Bombyx mori: one gene and its partners. The protein of the gene in region 1 purifies or fractionates together with the protein of each later gene. This does not show direct contact. Links are inferred from orthologs where the notes say so. Each region holds a gene or a part of one and is shown on either strand. Other genes may lie near its edges.

Evidence for each region. Proteins that work in one complex are often made in the same cells at the same time.
Region 2: the proteins of transcription initiation factor TFIID subunit 9 (region 1) and transcriptional adapter 2B purify together in Drosophila melanogaster (affinity purification with western blotting; 4 studies listed by BioGRID, with this or other methods). This does not show direct contact. The link is inferred for Bombyx mori from reciprocal best matches to the Drosophila melanogaster genes Taf9 and Ada2b.
Region 3: the proteins of transcription initiation factor TFIID subunit 9 (region 1) and Taf1 purify together in Drosophila melanogaster (affinity purification with western blotting; 3 studies listed by BioGRID, with this or other methods). This does not show direct contact. The link is inferred for Bombyx mori from reciprocal best matches to the Drosophila melanogaster genes Taf9 and Taf1.

Annotation. Positions count from the first base shown.
Region 1 is NC_085109.1:1,356,955-1,361,225, reverse strand, and holds transcription initiation factor TFIID subunit 9, read left to right. Parts: upstream 1-1,530; 5' UTR 1,531-1,726; coding exon 1,727-2,094; intron 2,095-2,667; coding exon 2,668-2,890; intron 2,891-3,263; coding exon 3,264-3,383; 3' UTR 3,384-3,453; downstream 3,454-4,271. UniProt on the Drosophila melanogaster protein: TFIID is a multimeric protein complex that plays a central role in mediating promoter responses to various activators and repressors.
Region 2 is NC_085131.1:6,658,529-6,663,411, forward strand, and holds the start of transcriptional adapter 2B, read right to left. Parts: upstream 3,053-4,883; 5' UTR 2,947-3,052; coding exon 2,836-2,946; intron 2,741-2,835; coding exon 2,681-2,740; intron 2,604-2,680; coding exon 2,462-2,603; intron 1,725-2,461; exon of another isoform or gene 1,114-1,724; coding exon 896-1,113; exon of another isoform or gene 824-895; coding exon 751-823; exon of another isoform or gene 428-750; coding exon 274-427; exon of another isoform or gene 1-273. Other genes in the region: WD repeat-containing protein 37, read left to right, coding at 4,447-4,624. UniProt on the Drosophila melanogaster protein: Component of several Gcn5-containing histone acetyltransferase complexes that regulate nucleosome organization; involved in acetylation of histone H3, particularly on Lys-10 (H3K9ac) and Lys-15 (H3K14ac).
Region 3 is NC_085123.1:8,778,333-8,783,178, forward strand, and holds the start of Taf1 (transcription initiation factor TFIID subunit 1), read right to left. Parts: upstream 3,053-4,846; 5' UTR 2,898-3,052; coding exon 2,678-2,897; intron 1,486-2,677; coding exon 1,418-1,485; intron 1,278-1,417; coding exon 1,048-1,277; intron 798-1,047; coding exon 683-797; intron 575-682; coding exon 393-574; intron 283-392; coding exon 111-282; intron 1-110. UniProt on the Drosophila melanogaster protein: TFIID is a multimeric protein complex that plays a central role in mediating promoter responses to various activators and repressors. Largest component and core scaffold of the complex.

The DNA.
Region 1 (4,271 bases):
TATAAATAAATAATATTGACAAGTGTACGTCCAAATTGTCCATGTATTAGTTAATGTACCTAATACAATATTACATTAATGTAATCATTAGCGATATTCTAGTACATTTCGTGAAGGTATCGCCGTGCTGCGACGTGTCAGCGTCCGAAGCGACCCACTTAACAATTGGATTGATATCTGAAAATACTTATTTTTACTGTACACGTAAGTTATTTCATATTTTAACTGAATAAATCGAAATGGTTATTATAGTTGTATGTTTTATTTATTTAATACCCTTCAAAATCCATGTCAACCTTCAGTGACTTTAGAAACAATTCTTGTTGATTCACCATCGTTAAAATAGTCCTACTTCCAAGATACTGTCTCATGAATGAATGAATAAACTGAACATGGCGCTAATCAGAACTGGCTATCTTAGTAAAAAAACCTGCCAGACTGTTATTAAGTGGATATCTAACTTTTTTGTGTAACTTGTCGAAAGGCAAGCAATTGCTTAAATTCCAACAGAACAAAGAAACATCAAACGGGAACGCTTGACTGTTTTGCGGCAGAAAAAAACCAGATTATGGATATCTATTCTAATTTATTTTTCAATTCACAGTTTATAGACGGTTGATAAATGAATATTAATATTCTCTAAATCTAAGAAAATCCTAAAATTAAATGAACCAAATAATACAAACCAGTTTTTCATTTTGTTACAATATTGCCGAAAAATAATATACATACATATATCTTTTTATTTTGAGTACTTTAATTAAGATAAATAAATAAGAAAAATGATTTCTGTTTTGAATGTAAATGCATAAAAGGAAATTTAATATCTAGGTAATATTTTTTTCGTAAGACAGTGCGGGATAAGCGTTTACATTTGTTTAAAGATAAAGGTATTGAAAGTAGAGATATTGAAACCAGCTACTTAGTTAGTTTTGTTAACTAACTGTACAGCTGTTTGATGAACGAAATAAATAAGAAAAAAGGAATTCATTATATATTTTTTGAAGTAAAACTTCTTTAGGCGCGTTGAGAGTGAAATTTAACTCGCGACAGATTCGTTACGGCTAGAGAGAAAAGATACAATTTAGGAAGAGCGAGAGTAAGAAAATAGGTAGGGCGTCTTGTGAACCACTCAACCGTGGAGAGAGGGAAAGGGCAAAGCGAGTTAGGTCGTTTTTTAATTTAGTGACATCTATTGGATTTCGTTTAACTACTACATTGCAAGACCATCGGTGTGAACAGTTTAGTTTCTAAATTATTTACAGAAGGCGGTATTTTAAATAAAAGTAATTATCACTAAACATATTATTATTGTAAAACCAAAGGACTCGTTCGGTAATCATCGAATACTGGTAACAACTTCTTTCTAAGTTAATCTTATTTCTCGAGATAAATTGAAGTTTCACTTCTTTCACGTGCACCAAGTTTTATACGCGCACCAGTTTTTTGTTTGTTTCCAAGTTCTGACAACAACCATAGAGAGATATACTTTTAAATGTGTTCTGAAATGAAGATGTCAATGGCTCAGAATGGCTGACACTGACAGTTTGAATTGACTTGACAATCGTCATCAAACAACATAGATCTGTCACAATCACAGCACAAGTGTTGTTTTTATAGCATTGTTACCAAAATAAAGTATGCCAATACTATGACTAAGAAAAAGATTTTTAAACAAATCAGAAATAATTCGGTCTAAAATTAAAATAACAAATAAAACTACAAGATGTCAGAGAAAGACAAATCCAAATCGGGTGGTCAAGCTAAGCACATTCCCAAAGATGCCCAAGTCATCATGTCCATCATGAAGGAAGTAGGTATCACTGACTATGAACCGAGAGTCGTGAACCAGCTCCTAGAATTCACATACCGCTACGTTACATCAGTATTAGATGATGCAAGGATATTTGCAAACCACGCAAAAAAGAAAACTATAGATCTTGATGATGTGAGACTGTCAGCTCAAATGCAATTGGACAAGTCCTTCACGAATCCCCCGCCCCGTGAAGTGCTACTGGAGATCGCGAGGGTCAAGAATGTTAATCCTTTGCCGTTGATAAAGCCGCATTGCGGGTTAAGACTGCCTCCGGATCGGTAAGTATTGGAAAATGTAGCACACTTTAATCCTATATCTCACAGCACATTATATTAATCTTTCGTGAGTATGGACTTAGATAATTTCTTCAAAAATCAGGATTAGCTTAAATAGCTCAAGGTTCAATCACCGGACTTGAGGGAAAAATACTCCACTTTAGACCACACGTATGTAATTTGCGCACCATGAATTGATTGCAACAATATTGTGTTCACAATCAAAGTTCAGTAAAGTCTTCTTGTAAACAATATCTTTAGGTGACAGATTGTCTTATTACAATTTGTAAGTAGTTACTGATACTTCAATACTGCCTGTTACTAAGAAGTCTTCAAACCTTACTGAAATAATGTCAGAATACTCCATAAACACCAATGGTTGCATTTGGGAGCCTGGTATAATAGTAAAAATGATGAATAGAAATACACTATGGACCAATTCCGCTAACAAAGGAAATTATGGAATAATTTTGATTAATTTTGTGTGAAACATGAGATTCCCTTAACACCCAGAGCCTTTTAATATGGTTAACTTGTAAATCGCTGCATGTTTACAGAGAATATTCATTTTTCCAGTTACTGCCTGTCATCCTGTAATTACAAACTGAAACCAGCAACCAAGAAAGTGATCACAAAAACTACGATAACCCCTTCCCCGTCCATAAAAACGGTCACCACATCCAAAGCACCTCAACAGACAGTTGTTATGAAGAGACCACCGGGAGCAATTGTGAATGTGGGCACCCCAAAAACCAGTCTCGGAACAAAACCTGTACTGAAATTTTCATCAAGCAGTAAAGTAAGAATTTGGTTTAATTTTAAAATTATAGAATAGATAAATAGACAGCACTATGCTTTATCATATTCATCACAGATTGAACTATTAAAAAGTGGTTTCTTTATTTCCTAACAATAATTTGAAATGTTGAAAACTGATAATCTATATTATGATATAAACAAAACGAAATATCTATTTTGTCTAATTAAATGTCAACTTATATTTGATAATATCAAAATTGCGTCACAATTTTTTTTTATTATATCTGATTATGTATTGAAATCTACATTATAAATTAAAACTAATTTTAATCTTTCATTTTTTATTTGCTTTACATTATTTCTGACATTTCATAGTTAGCACAATATTTAAATGTCAATGAATTATATTGCAGGTAGTAAAACCAGCTGTAAGAGTGACAGCTGGTCCTTCCTCACAGGCTCCTATCAAGATGGAGACAGACGAGCCAATGAGCCACAAACGGAAAAGAGAAGACGACGATTATGATCTATAAATAATTAATAGGATCACGATCTTTCTGCCTGGAATCAACATTTTGATATTAAAAAGTATCATGTGTTTAATCCTGTTTGTTTAGTGATTAATTCCATAAAACCTGATGATGCAAATTGCTCAGATTGTATGGTTTATATGACTAAGGGTATTTTAATTATTACTGTAGGTAGAAACAACAAAAAAATTGAATTTTTCCTGTTTTTTTTAAGTGAATCATATTTCAATGAAATAGCTTGCCAAAAGTTCTAAAGATAATATAATAACAGAAAGATTTAAGTAAGAGAATCTGAGATTAAAAGAGTCACTGTCTGACTGTGCCCTATAATTTAAGTAAGATCTGGAGGTGAACTCATACCGTTTTGATGCACAACTAGATTCTTTTTAATTTGCGACCGTATAGCTTGGCTGCCGTGCAAATTTTGAATTGAATTTGATATTATGTGTTGTAGTTTTCTAGATGAGAACAGGATATCTACAGTGATTTAACATACATTTAAGAAGGCATTAAAATAGAGTAGGTAAGATAAAAATGCATTCACAGAACTTGTCATCTACTACACTCGCGAGCAAAAGTTTGGAATCACTTACTTGAAATTGATTCCGCGCGATCTTGTGTACTAAATATTTTTTTGATAATCATAAAAATGAGATCATTTTAAAGGTTGAATTCCTAACTTTAAACTGATACCAAATTCATTAAAATCAAGCCAGTATTTAAGAAGTTATCTTGGATTAAGTGAAGGAATAACGAAAAAGACGTGTTTCAATTGCTTGATACGTCGCGAGTTGCGGCCTACTGACCCCTATAAAAGCACCTGTTATCGGATTTTCTTTATCAGTCGACTTTCACACGTTGACTGGTACATATCTCGGCTACTTTTGACTC
Region 2 (4,883 bases), on another chromosome or scaffold:
AAGGAGTGCAGAATTTTAATATACTTATTTTTAAATTATGCATCAAAATACATTAAATCAATAAAAATAAAAACATTACACACACACACGAATGCATATTATTTGTTTATTGTCAAACTTTTCTTTTTGCTTATAGTCTGTGGTCAAATTGAGAATAGATTAAATATTGTTTGTCTTTTTTAATATTTGTCTAAATTGTGTCAAAACACGAAAATCATAACATATCTATATACTACACATTTGAAATACTTCAAAAATATTATTGGTACATACTTTTTTTCTTTGGCAAGTTTTCCTAGGGTCTTCTGTTTATTCCTCTGATTGTTGAAGAAGACAGACACTAACTGGAAATCTCTAACTAATCTTTTTCGTCTCGTTCTCTCTCTCAGTCTTCTGATGTATATATCAACTTGTGATAGCTTTAGTGCTATAAAAAATAAAAAAAACGGGATATGTCATTTTTTATTTATTATATATATCTTATATGTATTTAACTAAGCTATGAGACGTTTTAAAATCATAAAATAGATATACAGATCTTATAAAGCTTTTAGTCTAGCCTGTTCATAATATGTATCAAATAAGAGACGTCTCAGAGTGAATAATTCATATGTAAATTTCAAGCTCAAGGTCGGCAGTCTATCAGTCATTATTATGATTTTTTTAAAAGGATATTATTATATTAAAAACCACATATTTTATCAACCAAAAACCACTTATCTATTGAATATATATCTATATATAACCTACCAACATCTAATTCATCATCTTCTGGATTTAATGATAATGTTGAGATCAACTGCTCTGCCTCATGATCATGTTCCTGAAATTTCGACACTTTGTAGAACAATATTTTAATTTATTATAGTAAATAGTACAAAAAATTCATTCTTACTCTTTCAAAATCATCTCTATTTGGCATATACCCAAGTTGTGCTGCTTCGTCTACTGTTATAGCTAGGTTTGGTAGTCGAGACACTGCAGTTGGACCAAGTGGGCCATCATCTTTATCTGCACAATGTAGTGATGGGCGAGATGTACTTTCAATATTGCCCCATGTTGCTTTGCCTATGGTGCCTTCCAGGTACCTAGTAATGTATTCATCTTTTGCTTCTGTAATTGAAATTTATGTTTATTTGTTATTATTATTTATTTGTCTTTCTTATAACAATGATGTAAATGAAAGGATTTGATTCGAGCCCTACACCCCAGCAGAGGGTAATAGGAAAGAACGATGATTATGATTATTATTTATTTTTATTATTATATTTAATTAATAAATTTATATATAGTATGATAATTCTTTGGTAATCTTTCTAAAGTTCAGCACTACTGTACCACTGCCACCATGTGAAGCAGAACCTCCTTTGCTCTACCTATAGTCGCAGTTCAGTATATTTGTTTACAATGCTTCCATCGCTGTTACAGGTTTAGGAAGGAGTTTAGAAGAGTGCAGAGGTCTTAAAGAATCTGAGATTGACATGGTCAGTCCTTTTGCGGTGTCAATTTTTAGAAGTATTCTCAACAGATTTAAATAATTACTTCTCACCCTATTTATTATTTTTAGTACTGGTGTTAAATCGTTGATTTGAACTTATGGGATGATTTATTTCCAAATTATTCTTTTTTACTTGTGAAAATAAAGGATATGCATCATGTAAATTTAATCCCAACAAAATTTATTTAATGTAAATGTTTAATATATATTTCTTATTCTTGTTTAATATATATTTTGAGCTTCCATAGCCCATGAAAAAATCCTGTCTTAACATTGCATGTGGTGAGTTTATATACATTATTGAATGGTTGTGACCATGCTGTCACCATTAAATATGCAAAGTTACTATATCAAGGGAGTAAAAGGCTATTCGGTTTAAATGACATTTTTGACAACTTTACAGGAAGGCCATTCAAAGCTTAAAAATTGGAAAAAATATCATAACCAAAAAACGTCTTCAGCTATTTGAATGGAGTAAACGTAAATTGAAATTCAACTAAAAACATCGAACTGTTGATACCAAGTATACCTTTAATTACTAAGGTAATGTACGTTATACCAAATAGCATTTCACCCCTCGATATTATAAAACTGAGACTTAGTAATCATGCCTAAAGGTGGCTAGTAACATTTACGTAGTTGAAATCTCTTGAATCCCGTAACCACCTAACAACAACAGGTAGACGGTAAGCACGTCTACCCAAATATAAAAGCTGAAGCTTTAAAAAAAATTGAAATTCGAAATATTCACCATATTTTATTCAACAATGTTTTTTCGTTGCAGAAGCTATTTTTGAAAATTGTTATTGCATTTAGATAAAAAGTTACAAATAATAGTATGCATATACTAGGTATTCTTTGCCAAGGCATGCAATGTATGCTGTTTGATGCCAATGTTGAAAAATGAACCGAAGCACAGTGCTAAGACAGCAGATTACTGAGTAGCTTATATCATTAAATTACCTTCAGGAGTTCTTGTTTCAATATGTTTTGCTATATCCTCCCAGTTACCAAAGCCGAATTGTTCTATGGCATCTAATAATCTTACTTCTTCGTTAGCTGACCAGCTACTACGTCCTAAAAATATTCCAAAAGCCCCAGAGTCCTGGAAAAATAGAACACTCTTGAAAATCTATTTACTTTCTGTAATAGTATTACAGTAGTCGTTTATAAAGTGCTTACCACAAACTGATATGAATGATCGTTTTTGTGCTGTCCGATTTCAGCACCAAGAGAAAAACACTGAAAATGCATTTTATTGCATATTAATTTCTAAGTGACAATTTTAAATTTTGCGCCAAAACTATCAACAAAAATGGCAGTATCAACTACTTTACCTGCAAACAAATATCAAAATCAACACATTCAGTACATTTAACTCTTACGCCGTTTATTTCCTCTTGACAATATGTACAATTATATTTAGCGTAAAGATCTGAAAATGACATGATTTTTATTACAGTGAAAACAAACTTTAAACTTGTACGTTGGCAGGCTTCAGATTAGCGCACAAATTTCCAAAGCCATTTTACGTTTTTTATTCCCAAACATTTTGAGTTACCAGAGTAATAAAACATATTTTGTAAAATATTTTATTTCCTAAAACTTAACTACGCATTCTAACATGTTGAATAGATTTGAATCTACTATGTATTTGAAAATTAATTTGGTAGCGCAAGATTGGAGTAACACTACCCTATCCGGTCATCGGCGAGAAAATTAACCCACAGACACAGTTCACCGAGTTTCTCGCCGGATCTTCACAGTGGGTCGCGTTTCCGATCCGGTAGTAGATTCTGCGAAGCACTGCTCTTGCTAGGGTTAGTGTTAGCAAAATCGTCAGGTTTGAGCCCCGTGAGCTCACCTACTTGTTAGGTTTGACTGACATAGCCTCTCAAGGCTATCGGCTTAGGTAGAAAAAAAAACTACCCTATCGCTTCCCGTTGTTGTCACAAAATACAACTAAGAAAACTGAACAATGAACGATGCACAGAAATAATAAACCAATATAGGTCTTGCGATCGACAAGAGGCTTATATTAGTGTATTTCTTCCATGAAACCATCATGCATTCTAGTTTGAAGTGTGAGACAGTTTTTACAGTTACAGTTTACAGACAGTTCGACAAAATCAAAATCCTGTTTTGTTTGTAATTTAATGCTCTCATTTAGAAAACCGTATTACTGTGTGAAAAAGATTTTTAACGTTAAGCTAAGACGCATCATTCCTGTCGAATGTCTGATAAGACGTATTTTTACTACAATATCTCTTCCTAACGCAAGTATAGAAAAGGACGGTGATATTAAAATTCACGATGTACAGTATAATTTGCAAATTAATAGTCGAACTTACCAGGCAACCATAGACGTAAAATATAGACCTAAGCTAAATTTGAACCAGGAAACTGTTACTAGTCTTACAAATAGTGATAATTCCAATGAAATTCGTTAATTTCTAGTTTAAAAGCAGCTCTCTTATAATACTGCATATTAATCTGTGATAGTAACATGCTCCTTATGAGCGTTGCTGTAAGTGGTAAAAAGAAAACTACTACTTAATGGAACATGTAAATCCAAAATAATTTCTAACTAGTCTGTAGCTCCAAAACCTTACTACAGATTTGACCTAAAGGTTGTAAATACCAGGTCTGAAATCCCAAAAAAAAAACTTACTACAGATTATATTCTGTTGTATATGACAGCGAAATGTTTTTAATTCAAGTTTTCTCAAATCTTGCTTGAGCGTAGACAGAGAATCTATACATAAATGAATACAAAATTAAACTTTATTGTTACAACACAACAGCAAGGCATCTAAATATCTCGGTACCTTTAAAACTTAAAATTTGTGGTTCAACCTAGTAAATCTACAAATTATAGTAAAGTTGTGCTTAACATGTGCTACGTAACATAAGAAAGCGGATTACAGCTGAACATTCTGCTTTCAACCATGAAATCCAGTAAGCGCCGACTCCAAGCTTTAACTGAAGGTACCGACGGAATGCCGAACTATCTCAAAATGGAAGATTCAGAAACTTCAATTCCACCAGTATTCCGATCTCGTTTGCACGAGCTATTTTCTCAAATAGAAAAGGAGTTCGATCTTCTTTATACGGAAAATTTGAACTGTAAGTAGCAAACATATATAGAATATATTCGTTAAATGTGTTGTGAACTGATGCTCAAAACCATCATATGTAACCGTTTACATTGGGAAGCAGATTGATATTATATTTATTGAAACCATAGGGCTTAGTGAGGGCTGATAAAATGTCTTGTGAATAAATAACTAAGATCAGCAAATAATTCTGAAAAAGATATCTGCAAGTTAAACAGTATTATGTACTTTTAAAATGTATTATAAGCAATTTGAACAGCTATTTAAAA
Region 3 (4,846 bases), on another chromosome or scaffold:
GACATATAGCGCTAGATTAATACACCGGGCGTCTCATCCATTAAGACGAAGACGATTTAAAGTATAATTTTATTAATATATTTAGAAAAATACATGATGTTGTTCCATACCTTTAATTTGAATCCGTAGTCAAACCCATCACCTGTCTCTGGTACATTCAACATATCATACCAAACTTGAGCAGGACCAAAACGCCAGTGGGCCGGTGTTGGCCTTTGTGCTTTGTCTCCTGAGCCTAATCCCTTATCGTCATTAGACATCTGTTGATTTTCTTCCATAGGCCTAAAATAAGTGTTATTAAATTTATTTTTAAATCATTAATTTAAGGATACATACATAAGAGAGTAAGCTATTGATAAAGAAAATGCTGTTTTAATCTTCAGTATATTTACTTGAGAAGTTTCTCTTCATCGTCACTTGCATATTGAGGTTCCTGACTGTCTGGAACCATCGGTGGTGTGTCACTGCCTGTACTTCCACTGCGCTTTCGACGTCTACGTTTTTTAACACCGCGCCATATTTGCGGTAAGCTGGACAGTTTTCCAGGTCCAAAAAGTCGAGAGAAAAGAAGTACCTACATGAATATTTATCAAATAAAATTTCATGAAAACAGCAAATAAATAACATTTATTAGCTTGAGAATTCAGCTCTTGTTAATATTTAAAAACAACATATTACTCACTCTATCTGGTCTGAAATCCGGAAACAGTTCTGTGACATCAACATTGGCATATTTAGATGGAAGCATTGCAGCCAATGGAGTATCTAGTTTTTTGGGTTTTTCTTGTTTGGGGGGTCTGTAAAACAATTAATTTTCATTTTATTTTAATGTCATATTGTATTTCTGTATTTACCAATATCTACTAAATTAAATTTTGATTACGAAATAGGCAACATATTGGTACTTACATATAAGCCATTAATTTGGTTACATTATATCATACTATTAGCAATTATGCAATTTGTGTTGTCATAAAATGAAATTCTCTATCTAATTGGGTGAATCTGTTCCCTTTTCATTCATAAGTTGGAAAAGAATATACTAACGGAACTGTCGAAGGAGGGGGCATAAGTCCACCATCACCTTCCATATCACCTTCATAGCCATCATCATTGGTACTCTGTACCTCTTGTTCTCCTGCAATATCAGTGTCCCTCCAAGTATCTTCTTTTAATTCCTCTTTAATACTCTGTGAATCAATAATCACAGGAACATTGCTGCTATGCACAGTTTGTACATCTGAAGTATTTTCAAATTTTATCACATTATTTTCTACCTGTAACACCAACATAAATTTATTTCAGAGCTAGTGATTAGTTTTAAAATAATGGTAGGTGTTTAGATAGAATAGATAGCTGTTTAATAGATTAAATACTATGCAATATTATAAGTTGGTTTGTGAAATCAAAAACATACTTTTATATCCTCTGCTGCATCTTCAATGTCAAAAAAGTCCACAGCCGATGGACTTTTCTCATTATAGTCTGATGAAATAAAATAAAGAATTAGATGTTTACCATTGCTGCAATTAATAATGTCTTCAGTTTAAAAGTTAAGTTAAAATTTCAGTTGACATAAGAAAATGTGAGATTAAACCTTAACAGTAGTTTGAACCATACTAAAAGAAACTACTATCTTCTAAGTTTCCTGACTTGGATTTCACTGTTGACTATGTATGATTTATGACTGAAGTTTGCTTACTCACTGCTAATCTATGTGCATATTCTCATCATAAGTGCATATTTCTCATAATACCATTGGTTATCCAATTCAAAACTTTTATATCAGCTACTTAAAGGTAAGGCAAAGGTTCTGCATATTTTTACTAGAAAATAAGCAAGCATTCCATTTCAAGAGTAGGTGATTTCGGCATTTGGGACTTCAAACTGATTTGCCATGTGATGTCTATGTGCATGTTACCATTTAAAAAATGTGCTAATTTACACTAATGAAAAGGTTTCTTAATATCTAATATAGGTTTGAAATATAAAAATCAACAACTATTTGTTTACTATTTTACTTTTTTTTATTTGGCTTTCATTCAATTACCAATACAGCTGTGCACAACCCATTTACTTTTTATATAAGAGTGACGGAGACCCATTTACAGCAGTGGGACAAAATATAGGCCATATTATTTCCTAAGGTTTATACAGTAATAATTTCGACACGAAACTAAATTCAAACTTAGTATAGTGGTTTAGAAGTGAAAACATACAAATAGAGCTAGGTACTTACATACTAATTATAAATTATATATAATTTCGAAAATAATTAAATGACAATAACATTTTTTGCAACATTCTTCTGTAATGAAGCAAAGCCTACTTTCTGCAGCAAGATATTCTGTCTCACTAGTACCTACAAAATCTACATGAAAATCAGGTCAGTACTTCGAGATTTGTGTAAACAGAATGAATAAAATGTGAAAATCCCCAGTTGATATTCTACGACTTCTTTTTAGCTTTACCCCTTTAATTTTATTCATTTAAGGTCCGTAGTGACAATTACAAACACATATTCTAAAGTATTATTACATTTACTGGTTTACTTTCAAGGCATGTTTATTCAAATGTAGTCAAAATTTAGACAAATTTAGTCAAATGTGTCGTCAAATGTAGTAACACACTCAACATCGACAATGCAGAGTCGAAATTGATAAAAAAAAACACTAACCTTTTTCTTCCTCTTCTTTAACTGGTTCCTCAACCTCCAGGACTTCAGAGAGCATAGACCCTAAACCTAAGCGGCTAAGCGATGATAACATTCGCTTCGATTCACCATCTAGCAATCCATCATCTTCTAACTGACCCCTTTCGTCAATATTACCAAACAAGAACCCGGTCAGATCCAAGCCTGAACGGCTGTGGTCACCTTGTTCGTCACTATCACACATGGTTCGAAGAAGTACAATACAATTACATTTCCAAGTTCATAATATTAGTTTAATTAAGATATGTATAATGTTTAATAAGGCTACTCAAGTTGCATTGCAATTTTTTTGTTTCAAATGGTATTATTCTTTATTTATGAGTGTTTGCTGTTTGCCTCGTAGATTTTGACATAGATTTTGAGTTGACATTAAGTTAACAGTAGTAGAAGTTCTATTTTTCTAACTGTAATGGCAAAGGTATCAAACCATAACGACTAATTGTTTATTTCCTTTTCTTATGAAAAATGATAATACAGAATGAAATAAAAAACAAAGTTGATTAATTTGAAACATTAATCAATTGGTATGAAATTAAATTAAATGAGATGAGATAACATAGGATGAAGTATAATCTCAGTAAAATGGTGGATAATAATTATTGAAACTTTTTCAGTGGACATTTTGGAAGATCCCGAAAAGCTACGTCCATCGGCTTTGTTTCATTTTCCCACATTTGTGCACTTTTACAGATACTAAAAGGTTAATAAGCCACCGTTATTACAGATTTAAACCTGAAGAAACACTAAATAGACAAAATAAAACAATTCACACAACTTCGCTTCTCGCGTTCCCGTCAAAAAGTCGAGACAACTATAAACTCCAGTATCAAAAATGTTTGATTGATTCACTAAATTGGCAAAAAAATTAATACTCATAACAATAATTTATTAATTATTATAATTTAAAAAAATAAGCCGACACCAATGTTCCTTGCCCAGTAAAAAAGTTTAGGTATAAAATGAAATTAAGGAATAAAATTGAATGTTTTGTGGAATTAAGTAAGTGAGATGGAATAAAGTAATAAATTTTTGGAAGAGCTCGAAAACCACATCTTAGACTTTTATAGAAACAATACGATTAAGAACCTACATAATCATCTGCCTTTATCTCTCCACTGCTGGATGTACGCCTCCCCATAGTCTGCCATAATGAACGGTCCTCCGCCTTCCGCATCCAATCTTCTCCAGCATATCACCGTAAGTCTTCGGTTCACAGGGAAGCGGGACGTTCAGCACTGCGCTTCCGGGTATGTGGTATCGGGTATCGGTCATTGGGTCTGCGATACGTATATCCGGCCTATTGCCACGTCAGCTTTGCTAATCTTTAGGGCTATACCGGTTACTTTGGTTCTTCGACGGATTTCCTCATTTCTGACTCGATCCATGAAAGAAACTCCGAGCATATCCCTTTCCATAACATGCTGTGTGACTTTGAACTTACGAGTCAGACCTACGGTCAATGTCCACGTTTGAGCGCCATATTATGTCATGACCGTTAGCACGCAATCGTTGAAGACTTTCATCTTTAGGCTTTGCTGGTTTGCTGAGTTAAAGATATGACAGAGCTTTCCATACGCAGCCCAGCCCAACTGTACGCGCCTATCAGCTTCCTTCTCGAAGTTGGCCCTGCCTAGATAAAAAATTTGGCCAAGATGGTGTATTCAGACACAACTTCGAGTGCCGCGGATTCGACAGAGAAAGAAGAAATAATATTTAATAATAAACCGAAAGAAATAATAAACAACCACATAAAATAAAATATCTCGCGTTCTTATCATTGCTGTTTCAATTAATTTCTTTAATTCTATTGCTCAATACAGTTCATAATTTAATATAAGGTAAGAGGCGAGTAGCAAGTTCGCAAGCAGGCTACTAGAAAAAAAGCAAAGTACACTACGTAGGTACCGTCAAGCTGACAAAACAAAAAATCAGCATCTATATACAAAATAGTTGTAATAATTATGTGTCATTTAATTTTAACACAGATTTACATATTTGAAGCAACTATTAATGGAGCTTAGATGATTTTATTTTACGCTCGTAATAAAATTATACAATGTTTTTTCCTCCGAAATAATGTCTGATAATCTTAACACGAAAATATTCAAAGCAAAGCAATCTTATAAGATTTTA